Linked DNA regions of Arabidopsis thaliana. The protein of the gene in region 2 interacts with the protein of the main gene of each other region in a pairwise test. Each region holds a gene or a part of one and is shown on either strand. Other genes may lie near its edges.

Region 1 (4,088 bases), on a different chromosome or scaffold from region 2:
CAGTTTTACAGTTTTTGGTTTTAAAAAATTAAAACCATTTAAAAACCATATGTATTTTGGTTCGGATCGGTTCCGGTTTGGTTCCGGTTTTTTCATGTTTTTACCAAAAAAAATTATAAGTGTGATGCATAAATAAAATCAAAATCTAATTTGTAAACTCAAATCCTAAATGACGGCATGTAATTTATATAGAATTTTAGTTTAGGTTACAGTTAGGGTTTTGTTTTTCGATAGTTTGATAGATATCATGTTATCAAATGAACATTATATATATATATATACAATTATTTTTAATTTAAATCAAAAACAAAAAAAACGTTCGGTTTTACGGTTTTTAATCAAACCAAACCTAAACCAAAACTTAAATAAAAATTACAATCAAATGGGTTTTTATACAAAACCATAACCAAACCAAACCATTTGTTTTGGTTTGGTACGGTTCGGTTTTTCGGTTTTCGTTTTTTTTCCCACCCCTATTAATTTAACATTTATATATGATGGATTCAAGCCTACTTCATTTTAGTGGGGTTTAATGGACATATCTATGGTTATATTCAAACTTCAAAGCCTTGGGTTTGTAAAGTTTTATTTCTAGCCTAAGTGTATATGTAAACATATCATGTAAGCACTGATTTATTAGGAGAATGAAAACAAACAAAACACTCTTTTATGAAGCAAAAAGAAAGCAAGCACAAATAAGCTTACTCTAAGGCCCACTAAATTTTAACAAATACCCATTAAAGCCCATTTAGGAACAAGGAAAACAAAACTGGACCGTATCAAAACGACAAAACAAAGCTAGAAGCTCTTCAGATTCAATGATATCCAATGGGAGCTGGAGCTTCTTTTAGCTCACGACCTTGGTAATGAATATCCTGCAATTTTTATTAAAACCATGAAAACAATCTAATCATCTTTTAAACATAAGTAAGTTTCCTATAATACAATTCACACTACTTACGGATGCATAGTGGTTAACATCACGGTGATGCGCTTCATCAGCACGGACCACCATGACGACATCACGAAGCGTCGCATCAGCTTCAAGTCTCCAGTAATCAATGGCAATAGCCGGTGCAGGCACATTTTCGATGTTACCATTATCGAGTTCTTTAAGAAACTCAGTGTAAGAGTGGATTGCTTCTTCCTCAAGGTATCCAACCATACGATGAGCAAATTTGGGAGAAATTAGGTATCCAAGGAAATAAGCATTGAAGAAAATGCCTTGAACGGCAATCACAAGAGCTCGTTCGTACCAATTAGGTTTCGCGACTTCCATGAATGTCATTAAATGCATTCTCTCGTTCTCTGCTTCTTCAAGTAGGGCTTTGATCCAACCACCGCTTTGTTCAAACCGTCGAAGCGATTTGCAGTGTACTAACATCCCTCCAACCATTCCTGGAACCGCTGCAACCGTTTCTAGCATCATTGCTCTGCATCCGTACCGCCTCTGCGGTTAACTCGTTGGCAAGATTAGTCCAAACATACAAAGCATTTGAAATGACAAAACCATAGAAAGCTAAGACTGTCACCTGGAAGAAAAGATCGGTAGGCCATCGAAGAGATTTCACGGTCCAATAAGCTAGTTTGTCCGGTAAAGTCGATGGAACATGATGCTTCTTCAAATCTATAGTCAGATCTGATTTATATGTCTCCCATGGCTACAGTTATTCCACACAAAAACTCAAATCATACATATAAATCGACCACAGAGTTCTAATATAATACCAAAGATGTAATGTACCCTAAAGCAACTCCATTTCCATTCAGTTCCATCTTCTTTGGTGATCTTCATCGGCTTCACTCCCCAGTAGCTAACGATTAATTGCTCCCCTTTGTTACCTTGATCAGCCTTGCCACCGCTAGATCCTTTCTCCTCCGTAGTTTTCTTCTTCTCAAATGTCATCTTGCTGAAAACTCTCACGACTCCCATCGCCGGAACCCTAATATTTTCCGTCACGAGAGGAACCCTAGGATTCAAAAGATGGCTGTGAGTCACAGCAGTTTCCATTAGCTTGGCTCCATAGCGACGACTCATCATCATTATGCAGATCGAAAATGAACAGTGGAACTTGATTAATGATAGTGTTTTTTTTTTGTTTTTTTGCATTTGGTAACTCCTAAACTGACATCTATTTATAGCAATTACGGAACTCTAGGATCAATGTATACAAGAAAGCGTAAAATTCGTCTAATTTGACTAAAAGACTTGTAGCACACGAAAAGACAAACTAATCCGCAAGTTTATGCTCAAAAACTGTGGACATTTTTTAAGTAAAAGCTTGTAGTAATAATCTTTTTTCTATAGACTTGGCTGGTGATATTCGTCAGCCGTTTTAATTCATGTTTTGATTAATTAGATTAATATAATTAAAAAGTTAAAAAAATCCTCTGTTCCAAAACAGAGACGTATTTGTGTAGTGTCTTATAGTTTCTTTGATGTATCTAACAATAACTGTGTCGCAAACTGTTGAAACCATTGGACAACCTTCTCGGTTTGAATATCATGGACGCAATTACTTGTTTCAAACCATAGGGTCTGAATGGTTGCAGCGGTTAAGGCGGACAAATCCGTTTATGGACTTGACCGATATTTAGTTACCATTCATAAATTGTGTCTGTAGTTATTTACCATTCATAGAATTGTGCTTATATATACAAATAGAGTTGATCTACATCGGTTTGTTATCCATCCTAAAAATAGAGCAAACTAAACTGCTGAGTGGATTTGTCCATCCCGACCGCCGCCACCATTCAAACAATATAGACGAATCTCAGTGTATCTATGAAACTGATCATTACTAAAATTTACCCAAAATGTTCGCAATAAAATCGATTTTCCCCCCAATTTGATGATTTTGAATCCATCTTGACGATGTCGAAGTAGGATATCCTCGGGTTTTTGATTCCGCTAGCGATGATCGAAACCTCTCCAGACAGAGTGATAACAAGATGATTGTCATTTGTTTCTGAAATCCAGCCTAGAGCAGGCTCTCAAAGGTAAGAATCATAAACTATACAACACGAAGAAAAAGAATAAACTACCAAAAAACTTTCATTAAATTATTCAACCAAAGGGAAAACAAATGAGAGAGGACTAGTGTATCTTATTTTTATCGACTAGTTTTTTTTCTTCTCTTTTTTACTCTCTATCTCTCTTACAAGATTTGAACCAAACTTGGAACATAATTGTAAATAAATGGAAACCACCACCATTTTTTTGTAAATTTTTCAGAAAATCTACATAACCACCATGGCTTGTTTGTAGCATAAGGGATTTCTGAGTAATATTTATTGTCTTCTCCAATAGTGAATATCAAGTTCCCGTCGGTCTCGAAATCTAAATTACAACACAAGGCCACTTTCTTCTCCTCGTTGATTAAAAGACTCGCGAAAACCTCAGAACAATGACCGCCAATGGGTAAATCCACTATAAAGGATTTGCTCCACAACAAAGCAGCTTCTTCAGTACCAACTTTATTGGTTACAAATATCTCCATCTTTGATGTCTCAATCTCTTGTAACACTGAGAGTTGTTCTTCTCCAACAACTGATAGAGCCATAAAACCATGATCTCGAGATGGCGGAAGACCAATATGATTAAATCTCTCTGTTGTAAAATCAAAACTACGTAAGAAGTCCTTTTTATTAGAACCAAACCAGTAAGTGTTTCCCTTTAAAGACACGACACTTACTGGTGGGAAGCGGTCATCAGGGACGTCATCAAGAACCTTCCATGAATCAGATCTAAAGTCATATATTTCAAACCTGAAACGTCCGCCGTCGTCTGGTATGTGATCGTGAAACCAACCCCAATACCTCAAGATTTTGTAGTTACGACGACAAAATTTGTTGTTTTCGTATCCTAGAGCAAACGTAGAGTATCTCCTGCATTCATCTTTGAGTTGGATCCACCTGGTTTCCCCCAAACACGGATTCCAAACCACGAGTCTATTGTCCCTGGTGGCGCATAACAACAAACCATCACAGTGATAAACTTCGACTATCTCGACTTGTCCTAAATTAGAATGGGAATCATCTTTTATGCCAAGTGTACCTTGAAACTCTACAGATGGAGGAGAAACATT
Region 2 (4,072 bases):
CACAACGAAGATATTCTTGAGAATAGCGCCGTTTTTCAGAACGGTGAACACAGGGATCGTCTTCTCCGGCAATCGTTGCTTCTCCTCCATCAGTTTCTCTTCCTTGACCTCCATGAATAAGTCTGTAAGAACGAACGATTGAGAGATTTTCGAAAATGGAAAACGAAAGAGATGAAGAAGAAGAAGATTTAGAGAGTGTTTCTCTCTTTCTCTCTCTATCTCCTTCTGATTTTGAAAAAGAGTCCGTTGTTGAATCCGACGACCTCTCTCTCTCTATTTACTCGTAACGGCTAATTGTGGCATCATCTCTTATTACGACAATTTCAAATTTTAATAACCAAATTAAACCCTTAATTAATTCAAATTTAGGTCGGTTAAACACTAAACACATGAATTTTTCATTTCATTTTTTGTTTGGTATGGACATGGTCATCGATTATTTATGTATGTGCTTTTCTACAATTTTTTCATGCCTAGAAATTGATGCCAAATCATTCAATTCGGGGTTTCAAAACTTTAACCATAACAGACCGAAGTAGAATAATTTGGTTTGGTTCGGTTTGATACAATTCGATTCAATTGAAAACGAAATACATAAAAGAGCAGCTTCTACTAAAAAACTCAAAACAGTTTTGATGCATTGTGTGAGAGTATACATAAATGTGAGATTAAAAAAAGTGGGATCATTCCTCCTTGGTATGAGCAAGCCTTGCGCGATGCCTGAGCTCAGCTCTTTTCCACTTTACGATTAAGTAGCAAAGCGAAAAGAGTGTGTTTATCTGTCAAAAACACAACACCTCCATCAGATTTTCCACATTCACTACACATAGTTCGTTAAAATCCTAAACAAGACATGGATCAGTATGGTACTATGGTTTGAGTTAAGGACTACAAATACTCTTAAGAGTTAAAACCAAATCAAACACGAAACATATCCTCGATTTCTCAGTTAATATGACTGCTCAATCAAAGTATGTTTTACTTGGGAACAATTTATTAAGAGCTAGCAAGTAGATTCTAATATATTAATGCAGAGAAGAAAGGGAAAGATTGCTGAACACATTACCAGGATTATCATTGCAATGACCAAAAGTGGTCCAGACCAGAGAGTCGATAGGAAGACTCCGTTCGAGTCAAAGTAGTTTTGAGTTGAGAAGCTCTTCCAGTTTTTCCTCAACTCCCGGTTGAGATTCTCTGCAAAGTATACCCCAGCCACTGCAAATTTTTTGTCACATCATCAGTCTCAATAACGTGTACTAAGAAAAGAAAAAACTCTAATTGATGCAGTGACGACTCACAAAATATCGCAAAGAAATATGCCAATCACTAAGTTCATAATCTAAACTAACACAGCTATTGAGTAGACAAATGAATATCATATTTTCGTTTTACCAAACATCGATGATCCGATAATCCTATTGTACTAAACAAAGAAAACAAAGCCTAGTGCATTCAATCATAAGCTAGAGTGAAGTAAAACATGTCAGTACTAGCTTCTCAAACACTTGATCCACTATGAATGCCACAACCTAGACTAGTGAGATCATTAGATCGAAGAGATTTCTTGTACAATATATATATAGACAGTTTCAAAGGGAACTTACAAGCCAATAAGAAGAGGAACATATGGAAGTTGAGATGCCTTCTAGAAAGAAGAGTCACTAGTAACAACAAAGCATGAAACGCCATTAAACCCATAATCCAAGGTTCCTGTAACCAAAAAATGCCAGATGAGAAAAAACCAATGTATATGAGTATAGTTTATGGAATCTCAAATTCTCACAGAATTCAAATGAAATTCTACAAATACCGAGAATTTATCTAGACTTGTGATTCTAAATTCCTCAAGACCAAATGATGCAATACGAAGAAAGATTCTCATTACCTTCCAATCAATGGCGTGGAAAAACCCCAAGAAATTATCGTAAGCAGGTTGAAACCCCGTTCGGAGCTCTCCGGAGAGTTTCTCAACCAGATCCGCTACGAGATCCACTTGCTTCTCCATCGCCGATCTTATTTCTTCCATTGTCTTACTAAATGTCACCGGAAAAAAGAAACCAATTTGAAATTGCAAGCGGTGGTAACTAAAATACTCACACTCCAAGTAACCAAAACCCTATCGCTTCTTCGATTCCAGTTCTCAACTTTTCTCGCCAAGATTTTTAACGAGTTTCTTCTGCGCTTAAAAGCTCTCGAAGTTGCCAGGAAAAGAAAAAAATGTAATCACCAACTTCCCAGAATACCCTTATAGTTTCATATTTTAACGGTAATGCCACTGAGATAACATACTAATATTTTGGATTATTCAGAGTAATATGATTTTCCAGGAACATCTAAACTTATACTCAAACCAAATGATTTGATCTTCGATCGAAGTCAGTTTTAATGAAAGGATTCTCCGAAATAATAAGACAAAAAATGAGTTTGAGCGATTCCACTCCTTTCCTTCATGAAAACTCTACATAATTACTATGCTTATGATAAAAAAAAATTAGATGATTATTAACATTCTCAATAATCGATAATAGGTTAACAGATAGAAGAATGAGTGAATGGAGATGTTGAGAAAGAAAGCAACTTCAGGATGTGGATGTTGTTGTGGGTCGTTGCTTCTTACGGAAGATGTAGTTTAGGAGCATCCCAAGTAAAGGGAAACTTGTAACCATGCCTATGTAACCAAGCCACCATACCGACTGTTTTGTCTGCCTACACAGCTCTTTAAAGCTTTTCTTTGTTACATCTTCCTCAGGCTTTCGCCCTCTCTGCTTCAGTGTGGTCTTATTGGTGTCTTGCTCATATTTGACTGCTGCCACCAACCCGTCTTCTGCAATGTTTAGGTACGGGCCTTGGTTTATCGATGGCTCTTGTTTCCCTGACCCTGAGCTTCTTTTATCTACAATCTGCAAAAAAATTGATAATCTTAGGAAGAAAGAAATAGAGAGAAGAGTTAAATTATCTAAACTGCAATTCTAATAAACGGAAACTTACTTTCTGTATATGCATATAAGGACTGCAGCTAAGGACGCCAAGAAACTCGTTGGTGGCTCGAACCCACCTATACACAACAACATATATAGGCAGTCAAAATAGGAAGTACTATTATTACTTAGTTACAATCTGAAATATACCAACCATAAGCTAGATCCAGTTAATCCTTCGAAGAACGCTAGATGTCCCCCGTGATTTGTTGTAGCCAAGACAATGTTTTTGTTGGCCCTTTTCAATAGAAACTTCATGTTAATCGCTGTAACAGGATTTAAGATTTAAAAAGAGATAGATAGCGTCTTACCTGCATTCGTCCCAGGGAATAGCTTCCTTTGTGCATAATGGATCATCTAGAGCACTTATACAGAGTAGTGGCACCGCCACATTTCCTACGTATTGAGTGCTGCTCGATTTTCGGTAATACGTATCCACAGTCTGCATAAAGGTGCAACCCGTTGTACTTATATTAAATCAACAGAGAACTTAATGGTGATTATGAAGAGCATTGCAAAGATGAATATATGAATTACAAAGCCAATTGCGGTGGAAAACTAACATCAGAAGTTAAGATAATATGGAGGAGAACTAATACCTCGAATTTTCCAACTAGACAGGTAGCATGGTTGTCAAAATCTCGGATGGAACGTGACTGATGAAGTAAAAACAACGGACAACAACAGACAACGTCGATAGGGAAAGAAATATGTAAGTTATTTGCTTAAGAACTCTGCTTGTTTCAATGCATCTACCAAGTAGACTGTATAACTTATGGGCCTGTGGTTAATTAACCTACTAACCTTTTTGATGCCTTCCCAATTAGCAAGCCGTAAAAACTGAGGTTCATGCCTGCAATGAAACCAAAAGTTATAACTGAAACCTGATCTTCTCAAAGCAGTAAAACGGAAATATCTCCTCTCAGCCCATCTTACAAACTCAAAATCTAGGCAGTTCTTGGTGGACATACAATTGGGCATAACCTTGGAGTCCGATGGTGAGAGCTTTGTCATAGAGCTTTTGTTTCAAAGTCCGACAGATAAACCTGTCACCAATCTTGTTGGGAGGAGAAAAGGAAAAGAAAAAGCATAAC
Region 3 (6,077 bases), about 11 Mb from region 2:
TGTGTACGCGAACCATGCATTGTAGTCATTCTTCATGTCGTAGAAATAGAACCCTTGAGCTCTTGCCACAGGTTCGGACTGAAAGTTTTTGTCTATGGTCATAGGATCGTCGAAGATAACGAGTTTCCCGAATTTGAAATTCCCGAGGCCCGGTGGGTTGGTAACTGCTGCAGAAGTCGCGTTTTGCACGTCGTCGACACCGAACATTATGTCGTGGTAGTAGAGGACAAAGTTTTTGCACGGTTTTGGTTGCGATTTGGATGGTTTTCTAGCTGATATGACGGTTTTTGTTAGAACAAGGAAAACGAATAAGAAGAGAAACGATTTCATTTGGCCTACCATATTGAAAATATGTGTGTTTTAAATGAAAATGTGAGAGTGGATAATGAGAGAGTGAGATTGACAAAGAAGGAGTGATGGGTTTATATACAACTTGGGTTACTAGTCCGTGTTAATATTAAGTATAAACAAAGTGGACTAGCTCACTTCTTCTCTCTTGTTTCTTGTTTATATATTTATTTATATTAGGTTGGTGATAAGTTTTGTTGATGTGTATAAAGTGAGATCATTTACCATGAATATCTGAAAGTTTTCCATGTAGGCGGCTCAATCACCTTTCAAAACTTTCCACAAAATGTTATAGTAGTGGAGAAATCGTTAAAAATAACACGAATGAAGTACTAAAACAAATTAGTATATATAATACATATTTGATTTAAGACTACATAAGCTTAAAGCTTGTACATACCTTAAGCTGGAGTTGCACGAATTCATCAATAATATCTAAAACAGCACAAATTCAAAAGCAGAAGAGATATTAAATCGGTTAAATATGCAATTCATGGCTTTAAATCATATATATTGAATCAATGAATAATCTACTTGTTCGTCTAAATTTAGGACATTAATAATATATATATGTATAGTCTTTCAGAACTACTAATATATGTAATTTGGCCTTTTAATGATGGGTTGGTGGAGCACTAATAATAAAAACTAAAGAGCATGAGGAGTTTTTCCAATAACTTATAATTTTACATGAATTTATGTCAAACTGCCACTGACCATTAGCATGATGCTAAAAAGTATCGTTATAGATTTTATTTTATTTTATTATATATAAATCATATCATTTTTTTCTATAACTAAAAGTAGAGTCATCTATTTTATTGGTAAAAGTCACGTTGAAAATTTTAATTTTAGTTTGTTAAGTACCCTATGGCTAATATAATTTGCATACCAAACATGTTTTTTTCTTAATGATAATCTAGTCCATTTGTAAAAGTAACCGTTTTATCATCAATTTTTTTTTAATTAAGCTAAGCTTTCGCCGACTTAATAGAACATTGGCATTCGGCAGCCAATAAAGCAAATCAAGTTGCAGAATTTCAAATGTGACATAACTATTCACATTTTAAAAAATAATATCGTGAAACAAAAGAAAAGCAGAACAATAGTAAACAAAAAGACAAATTGTTGAATGTTGACAAACTGTGAAGATGATAACAAACGAAGGAAAAGAAAAATACTAAAATAGTTTGTCCTAAAAAGCCTTATCTGCGAAGGCATTTTAACGAAAACGGGCCTATTGTTGGCCCAATATGATATATAGGCTCGAAACTCGTCACGTGTATTCAACAGTTGCTTGAGTTTTTCCCACACGTGCGCTGTTACTACGTGGACGCGCGCGAATAACTCTAGTTTTGTGGATTTTTTTCACTATCTTCTCAGAACAACACAGAGCCAAAGGTTTTTTGCTCGCAGTAAAGAAGAATCACACTGTGAAGAAGAAGAAGAAGCGAAATACAAAATCCTCAGGAAAGAAATGCTAAGTTTGAATCTCTCGGAGTCGCTTCGCATTCCATTCCAGAACCCTAGGCCTCCCAAATCCGATTTTTCTTCTACTTCTTCTTCTCCTTCCTCATCGTCGAGGAGATGCGTCTCCGCTTATCCAATTCCGATCGGGTTTTCGGTTCGTAATCAATACTTTTCTAGGTAAATTTGATAATTGATTGTTCATCGGCTTTTGAATTTGCTATGCGAATGGAATGTAGCCATGTAGGAGTTTACGTCTTTTCACAATTCTGTGCAGATGTTTGACTCAATTGCGTCGAAATGAATCTCAGCAGCTAGGTTTTCGATGCTTCCAACGAAACGATGCGGCTTGTTACCTCGAGGTGATTCTGATTTTTGTTACCTTCCACCAATCTTCTTTTGGTAGATTTTTGAATTTTTTTAGATGAGATTCTGTTAAGGCCTAGAGGAGATTTCTGAATTGCTTGTTCTGTGTGGATTTACCTAAAATGGTAATGTAGGTTTATTATAATGATGATTGATTTTAAGGTTGAACAATAGTGGAGAGAATGTGTTTAAATGCATAAGCTGAATAAGTTGTTGTGTTTGCTTTGTTCAGAAAGCTGAGTCTGAAGAGCATGATAGAAATCTTGATGTTCTGGTTGAGTCATCGATAGCTCACTCAAGAAGAGAGATTCAGAGAGTTCTTATGTTCTTGGCGGTATCAGGTTCGGTTGCATTACTAGGCACTGATCCAGCTTTTGCAGCTTCGTCAATTCCCAATGTGACACAGTCACTTGTCACTTCTTTTGGAGACCTTGGAGATATTAGCTCAGGTTTTGCTTCGGTTAGAGAATCTTCCTTTTGCACAGAACCGGGAACTATCTCTTCTTCAATTCCAGTACTCTTAAATTTTATTTTTTGCTCTGTCTATGTCTGTGTAGGCTTTCTTGCTTATCTTTTTCTCTGAACTTGGAGACAAGACTTTCTTCATTGCGGTATGATCTTGAGATGTTAATCTACGCTTTAGAAACTCTCTTTGTCATCAATGATTCTGTTGATTGTGATAAGTTTTCATGTTTGTTGGTTAGGCCCTTTTAGCAGCAAGGAACTCTGCTGCTACCGTATTCGTGGGGACTTTTGGCGCTCTAGGGTATGCTTTCTTTCTCAAACAGAGGCGTTATTATGGTCCGTGAATCTTGTCTGAAACCAAATGTTACTTTGAAATCTGTAGAGCAACGTTATAAAACTTGGTAATTTTGCAGGATAATGACGATAATATCTGTAGTGCTTGGACGCACTTTCCACTATGTCGATGAAGTTCTTCCATTCAGGTTTGAGTATTCTGGCAAAAATTATTAAGCAGGTTTAAGTTCCATGATGATGCTGAACGTCAATGCTTGAGAACACAGGTTTGGTGGAACCGATTTGCCTATAGATGATATTGCAGCAGTTTGTCTTCTGGTAAATCTCTTTATTCACCTTTCTTAGCAGAGTCGTACTAACCACGGGTGCTTGGTTTGGACCTTTCTTATGTCTAGCAAGTATATCTTCCTAAGTATATGATGTCTACCAAGTGAAACCAAATGTAGCTGTAACCCTTTTGTTATGAGTTTTGTTTTGGTTTTGGTTCAGTTTTCGATTCGAAGGGTCTTAAAATTGTCATGAAGTTTATAAGTTTCAGGCTCTATTGGGTTTGGATTTTTATGTAGAAAAAGTTACTGGTCTAACAATGAAGATGTTGATTGGTTTTCAAGCCTGGTTTATGGTTCATTTTGGGTTGGATCATATTGTACAGAGCATAGTCTTAACCATGAAACAGTATTAACCACTTTTGTTACATTTAGGTGTACTTCGGTGTTTCAACGTTATTAGATGCTGTTTCAGACGAGGGTAAAGCTGACGAAGAACAGAAAGAAGTAAAACCTCTTTAGCCTTTCGTTCACTCTTTGTATATTTCCATGCAACCTTCAAGAAGTCAATATTTATTTACTTATTATCTACAGGCAGAACTAGCGGTTTCAGAGCTTTCAGGTAATGGAGCCGGGATAGTAGCAGCCGCGAACACCATCATCAGCACTTTCGCATTGGTTTTTGTTGCGGAATGGGGTGACAAATCCTTCTTCTCAACAATTGGTGAGACTCAAAAAGTTCAAATTTCATGATAAATCAAAACCTCAGGTCCAAAACTCCAAAAGTGTATATAATCTTCTAATTCTTTGAAGCTCTTGCGGCTGCATCATCACCATTGGGTGTCATCGCTGGAGCGTTGGCGGGTCACGGTGCTGCGACTCTTGTGAGTTCTTTATCTTTTGATTGAAACTTCTATGTGAACACTTTAAAGATCCTAGCTATTTGGGCTAGTCAAAAGTATCTTTAAGTACTATTAAGACTTAAAACCCCATCAAAGAAAAGATTTTTTCAATTCTCCTGAAACTTGGAAGACACAAGAACTCTAACTTGCAGCTTGGTTTGTTAATCGCAGCTTGCAGTATTGGGCGGTTCTTTGCTAGGAAATTTCTTATCAGAGAAGGTAACTAATTCCGTTCTTTATCTATCTCTATATACATACACATAGACAGTATATACATGTTTATACTTTATATAGATCAAATCAATTTTAGAAAATCATTATTTCACAAAAGCACTTGAAGAATACTCCTTTTTCATTTATAGTGTCAGGTTTAGATTTTTGTTACATGTCTTAACCTGCATCCTGACCAAGTAAAAGGTTAAGAAGAATAAAACTTTAATGGTTGCATTAAAAAAGTAGAAAACAATTAATGAAATATGAAACAAATCCATGTCCTTAGATTATCATGAAAATTTAGGGTGAATATACTAAATGCCAGCATATCCTAGGATATATTCAGCTTTTATTACACAAAAACGAGATACTAATGGCAAATTACTAGCTTTAATCATGGTTTTAAAAGTTCCAAACCACCTTTTTGAGTTTTGTTTTAGTTAGTCAAAGGATATAATTTTTAATCTCGTATTGTGTTCTGAGATTTAACATGATAGAAAGAAAAGTGAGAGATTAAGGTTTTTATTCTTTGGGCAAGTGGCAAAAACAAGCTTCTATGTTCATTGATCTCAAGTCTTCCACATCACTTGGTATCTATTCCTCCCCAAAAAAGAGTCAAAATAACATCTTTTATTGTTTTTATTCTTTCCTATGTCCGATCCAATCTGTCAACAACGCGTTATTATTCCCAAACTAATGAAACTAGCCGCGGAAATAAAAATTAAATCACAAGTATATACTATAATTTTCTTTAGGTTTTAAGGTTCATGATTTATGTTTTATGGTTTAAGGCTTAGATTTTAGCTTTTATGACTTGATAGTAGGCTTACAATTTAATTTATAAAGATTTAAGACCATTTTTTTTATTGTTTTGATCTAAAGTTTAGACTATTTAAAAAACAATTTTGGGAGAGAGAGTGTGTTCTAAAGACGGAAATGTTTACATGTCGTTTGGTTCGAAACAGGCAATTGCTTATGTCGGAGGAGTTCTGTTTCTCGTGTTTGCTGCTGTGACGGTGGCTGAGATCGTTACGTAAGTACCGAAAAATATATTTTTTCTATACCTTCTTGTACAAACATATTCAAGTTTAATTTTATTTTTGTAAAATATTAGTATATTGTTTATTTTCAACTGTTTTTCTGCAAATTATAATGTGGATTTTACAGTTCTCATACGTTAACGTTTACTACCACATTTGGTTTTTAGTGGTTAGAATTTACTTAGATGTCAAGATAGGTAATATGTTATGTTTTGAAAGATGCGTCCAAACATAACACGTGTTCGGGACTGGAAAGAATATAAAGACTAAAAAGAGGTTGAACATGGTAGAGCATATTCTTTTCTATATTCTTCATGTACAAATGTGTATTTAAATACTATAATCGTGCATGTGAATTAAAATTATATGAAAAAGTTATAAATTTATGAGTTCCACTCACAAAGGCCAAAGGAGTTGTTACACCGACATGAGAAATAGGAAGATAATACCATCTCCTTTCTTTTATAGTAAGGTGTAAATTGTTTTGGTATTTTTTTTTTAAATGGTTTTAGTTTCAATATTAAGCAAGGGCCAAGGTGATTTTTCTTTTTTAAAAAGGATTACAGAAGTAAAGCTATATATTGTGCAAAATAAGCATGCACTGATGCACCTACATAAATAGTAGTTTGGATATATTGTAAAAATAACTTTAAAAATCATTGGTTTTGAAAAGGCATATTTCAAAGTTTCTGAAGACACAAATTTTTTAAAATTAA
Region 4 (4,076 bases), on a different chromosome or scaffold from region 2:
CTCCAAGGACCCGTGGAGGCAAGCGAGGTCGCGTTTACTATTGCACCCAGGTAATAAAAACATCTCCCAATGTTTTCTAGTAGCAGTAAAGGAAAATGCATTAGAGGCTTTTCGGGTTTGTTTGTCTGTATATAAAATGGTTGTATAATGCAGGCAGCAATAAGGCCACCGACGTTTGTTTTCTTTGTAAACGACGCAAAGCTGTTTTCGGATACGTACAGAAGGTATATGGAGAAACAGCTACGCACTGATGCAGGCTTTGCTGGGACTCCAATTCGGCTTCTTTGGCGTAGCCGTAAAAGATCTGACAAAAATGGAGGAGGTACGAGTTTTTTGCATGAAGTTGTAATTCTTTTTGAAAATAGTGACAGTATCTGTATAACTTTTGGAAAATTCTGCAGGTGGAGGAACAATGAGAATGGCAGGCCTTACACGTCAGAGAAATCTTGCAACCAAAAGAACATAATAACCGACGATGTAATTTTGTTGTATTGAAAAATAATTACTATCAATATATATATACAATTCAATCCTAGCTAGTCTCCATTGCAACCTACTCTGTTTGTTTTTCGTTTTGAGCTTTGAAGTGAAATTGCAGGAATAGTAAACTCTAATAAGTCTTCCATAGAGTATATTTCACAAGTGAGACGAAAAATATATGCATATACTCATGCACTCGTAGCAAATCTTACTAATCTCTTGATGATTTATAGGAACAGGACTACATCAACATTTTTAAACTATCTTTGTGTTTTCTTAATCTAAGTTTGCTAAAAAGAAAATGATTAAGAACAAAAAAACGATGCGGCTTTTAGTAAAGCTGCTCTTTCTTTTCGTGCCACCATCTCCACCTGTAATAAGAACATGCTTTTGTCAAAAAATAAAAAAATCCAAGATCTCAATTCGGATCAAGTATAATTTTGAAACAAAACTTTCATTTTACGATCATGCATTTGGTAAGTGATATATATATATATATATAGAGAGAGAGAGAGAGAGAGATAAGGTTACCAGTAATAGTCCCAACGAGGACGGACTCTGGTCATGCGGTTATCATCAGATGGATGGTAAGGATGAGCTGCGTGGCGAGTGTTGTGGAAGGCGCAGCAACCAGCGGCGTAGACCGCGATGAGGAGGACGAGGACGAGAATGTTGACAACCGATAACTTTCTCCAGTCGAGACGGATCTCTTCGAGAACACCAGCCTTGCAAGCATCGCACTCGTAGCATAACATCTCCACTCCATTGTTCCATCTGAAGCAATCTCCTCCTCCGTCCACTACTCCAGCTTCGTACGTACACGCCGTCGGTGGCTTACAACATCCCGACTGCATTGTCTTTTATTAGTCACGTCTTAACTCTTAACAAGCCTTTTCTTCCCCAATAATACTATATTTTTGTCTAAATGCAAACGCCAAACACAAACTAAGTAAAAAGAGAAAACTATATGTTTACAGCAAAAAACTGGTAAGGTCACACTATCATTTTGTTTGCAAGTAAGAATACAAATACGATTCAACAAAACACACACGGAAAGAAAAAATTCGTTTGCCTTTTTCATTTCTAGTCACATGCTTGCTTTACACGCGATTAGAAACGAAGAAACAAATAAAATCAAAGGCTTAAATTATCATATGATAAGATATATATTAGATTACTATAGCAATTTGTTAAGCAAGCATGAATCATGTCATAAAGTAGATTGTACCTGAACAGAAGTCATGTCTCTTTGGAAATAATCAAGTGTAGTCCAAGACTCAATCTTAGTACAAGTCTTGGAACTCAAGATACAGCTTCTAATGGAGTTCCAATACTCAGGATCCCTAACTCTCTCTCTCAACCATGGATGATAGTCTCCAAGCCTATACTCTTTATAAATCCTCCCTGGCACTTCCACTCCACCTCCTTGGCTCGTCACCACCAGACCAAATAGCGTTAGACCCATTAGGGTAGCGATGAGGAAGATCATGACCACTAAGTACACCCAAAGAGCCCATGCCACGTTGAAGCAGGCTCCTATGAATCCCGCAAGGGAAACTATGAGTATGATGAATCCTATAACAAGTAGCGGCGTCTGGAGGAAGTTTTCACATGTCGTGCTGCTTCTTGCCTTGTATAAAGCGGTTCCGATGATTGGAATCGAGGCTAGTAAGGTGAGAAGGTTTAAGACCCCAATAACTGTGTTGCTGAATCTGTACATAGTAGTAATGTTATCAAGAAGAAATCAGAGACTTAACACTGCCTTCTTTCTTTTGTAAGCAGATTCTCTTCTTGCAATGTGAATTTCATCAGCTTTATCTTACAATCTTCTTTTTCTAGATATAATATTGGTTAACTCTACTTTTGGCTTTTGATTCTCTCTTATCAATTGGGAATTTTTTAAGGGGAAAGGTTAAGAGTTAATGGTTTGATGATTCATGATCATATTCTTTTGGTCCTCTCTCTCTTGAGTTGAATCAATTAAACAATAACATTAAAACCGTATAATTTTCAAATAAAAGTGTCTTTTTGAACAATTGTTTCTTGTTTATTATTCTATATTATACGTTTTTGTCGTTGGAGTTGGTACAGAGCAGACCACAACCAAGAGAAATCAAGTAGTGCCTTCATTAAAATATGTTCTTAAGACATTACACCATAAAGAATACAACTTTTTCTAGCTTTTAGTCCAAAAACTGCAATCATGGTTTATATAATGGATGATCACAAGTGGAATAAAATAAATGTGCTATGTTCAATGAAGCATAGGAGTAAGCAAAGAATAATATATAGACATGGACGGGAGATGATTTCGTAATCGATGAATTTTCTTTCTAAGATGCTTTTAGTGGCCCATTCCTCGGAATATTAGGTTTTTAAGATATAGCTTGATGTGATCTCCGATTCCCCCACTTCCTTTTTTATCGTATAAATAAACGAGAAGGAATGCTAAAATCTTGTCTCAGCTCATATTGAATTTTTGTGTGTTTACTTTCACATTTAGCAAATGATATATGTTTTAATTCGCCAATCATTATGAGCCAAAATATCCACAAGCTTGAAGATACAAAGGTTTGTGGTCTTTGTGTGGTTGAAAATTCACATAAATGAAAAACAAACAAAACAATATCACAAAGTCACAACTTGAAAATTCACAATATTTATATTCCTAAAGAACCATGATCTCTAGTATACATCCAAAAATCTTCAAATCAGCATTTAAAAACAAAGAAGAGGCAGATGCAGCTTAGGTGTAATCAGTTTGCAGGGTCAAGTCTTGTACACCCAAATCATGGTATACATCATATACATATTGCAGTAATGGTCTTTCATCTATTCCGCTCTTCACCTAACGCCGATAAACAAAATAACAAACCCAGTCATTTCCATTTCTAGTGTGAGCTCATGTTTTAACCGATATAAAAAAAAGGAGAAAAGTGAGTACCTGGAGTCTGAGTGAGCCAACAGTGTGACCAGGCACAACCTCCCAGAAACGTGCCTGTAAAACCTCCGTTACATCTTCTCGAGAAGTAATCTGTACAGAGAGAGAGAGCTGAAGAGAAGCCTGGTTTGATCAACAATGGGAAATATGTACACATTCGAGGAACGATTTATGAGCGAACCTGTCGCAAGCATTTGCTTAAAGCAGAAGAAGGAATGTTTGGGGGTGCCATCTGAAGCAAGACACCACCAGTGGCTTTGAAGAGTGGCATAACAAGCATAAACACTGTGACCGATACCAATCCTAAACATAGGACCTCTGCATTTTCAACCCTGAAAAAGCCAAGGCATAAGGAGCAAAAGGAAAATGTAGTCAAGCAAGAAGACACTTTTATTCATTTAGCTCCTTCAAAGAAAGCGAGTATTACCCGAGCGAGAGGAGCCAAGATGCCAGTATCAAACCTGCACTGAAAAGACAGCAGCAAAGAAAACTTCATGTTGACTGTATATAAGTTTGATGCAAAAGGAAGCATTTTCTTTTCTATATAGCTTTCTCCGATTCTGCTTGAAATTTATAAAGGCAGAGAGGATTAACACCTGCGGATGGAATCTGATATGACGTGCAAGCAAACGGAGTGATAATTCATATCTTCTGC

The links.
Region 1: the proteins of AT1G34350 (region 2) and AOX1B interact in a protein complementation assay, tested with the Arabidopsis thaliana proteins (one large-scale study listed by BioGRID).
Region 3: the proteins of AT1G34350 (region 2) and AT1G64150 interact in a protein complementation assay, tested with the Arabidopsis thaliana proteins (one large-scale study listed by BioGRID).
Region 4: the proteins of AT1G34350 (region 2) and TET6 interact in a protein complementation assay, tested with the Arabidopsis thaliana proteins (one large-scale study listed by BioGRID).

The regions. Positions count from the first base shown.
Region 1 is NC_003074.8:7,902,112-7,906,199, reverse strand, and holds AOX1B (alternative oxidase 1B), read right to left. Parts: upstream 2,104-4,088; 5' UTR 2,045-2,103; coding exon 1,745-2,044; intron 1,662-1,744; coding exon 1,533-1,661; intron 1,451-1,532; coding exon 962-1,450; intron 876-961; coding exon 816-875; 3' UTR 624-815; downstream 1-623. Other genes in the region: AT3G22350 (F-box and associated interaction domains-containing protein), read right to left, coding at 3,159-4,088.
Region 2 is NC_003070.9:12,532,539-12,536,610, reverse strand, and holds AT1G34350 (Tmem18), read right to left. Parts: upstream 2,186-4,072; 5' UTR 2,027-2,185; coding exon 1,886-2,026; intron 1,711-1,885; coding exon 1,530-1,710; intron 1,216-1,529; coding exon 1,067-1,215; intron 780-1,066; coding exon 684-779; 3' UTR 516-683; downstream 1-515. Other genes in the region: PS1 (forkhead-associated (FHA) domain-containing protein), read right to left, coding at 1-114; AT1G34340 (alpha/beta-Hydrolases superfamily protein), read right to left, coding at 2,580-2,900, 2,989-3,055, 3,133-3,216, 3,290-3,420, 3,578-3,634, 3,783-3,831, 3,950-4,035.
Region 3 is NC_003070.9:23,808,328-23,814,404, reverse strand, and holds AT1G64150 (Uncharacterized protein family (UPF0016)), read left to right. Parts: upstream 1-1,679; 5' UTR 1,680-1,825; coding exon 1,826-1,995; intron 1,996-2,092; coding exon 2,093-2,177; intron 2,178-2,413; coding exon 2,414-2,641; intron 2,642-2,738; coding exon 2,739-2,792; intron 2,793-2,885; coding exon 2,886-2,947; intron 2,948-3,059; coding exon 3,060-3,128; intron 3,129-3,206; coding exon 3,207-3,258; intron 3,259-3,641; coding exon 3,642-3,713; intron 3,714-3,800; coding exon 3,801-3,930; intron 3,931-4,019; coding exon 4,020-4,090; intron 4,091-4,279; coding exon 4,280-4,327; intron 4,328-5,286; coding exon 5,287-5,358; 3' UTR 5,359-5,570; downstream 5,571-6,077. Other genes in the region: DIR5 (Disease resistance-responsive (dirigent-like protein) family protein), read right to left, coding at 1-342. UniProt on the Arabidopsis thaliana protein: Mn(2+)/H(+) exchanger, which transport Mn(2+)from the chloroplast stroma into the acidic thylakoid lumen. Might be a chloroplast-localized Ca(2+)/H(+) antiporter. Regulates Ca(2+), Mn(2+) and pH homeostasis. Required for chloroplast development.
Region 4 is NC_003074.8:3,851,515-3,855,590, forward strand, and holds TET6 (tetraspanin6), read right to left. Parts: upstream 2,353-4,076; 5' UTR 2,201-2,352; coding exon 1,709-2,200; intron 1,329-1,708; coding exon 1,012-1,328; intron 852-1,011; coding exon 812-851; 3' UTR 611-811; downstream 1-610. Other genes in the region: emb2738 (GTP-binding family protein), read left to right, coding at 1-50, 154-322, 402-466; AT3G12100 (Cation efflux family protein), read right to left, coding at 3,227-3,328, 3,425-3,514, 3,603-3,753, 3,849-3,887, 4,018-4,076. UniProt on the Arabidopsis thaliana protein: May be involved in the regulation of cell differentiation.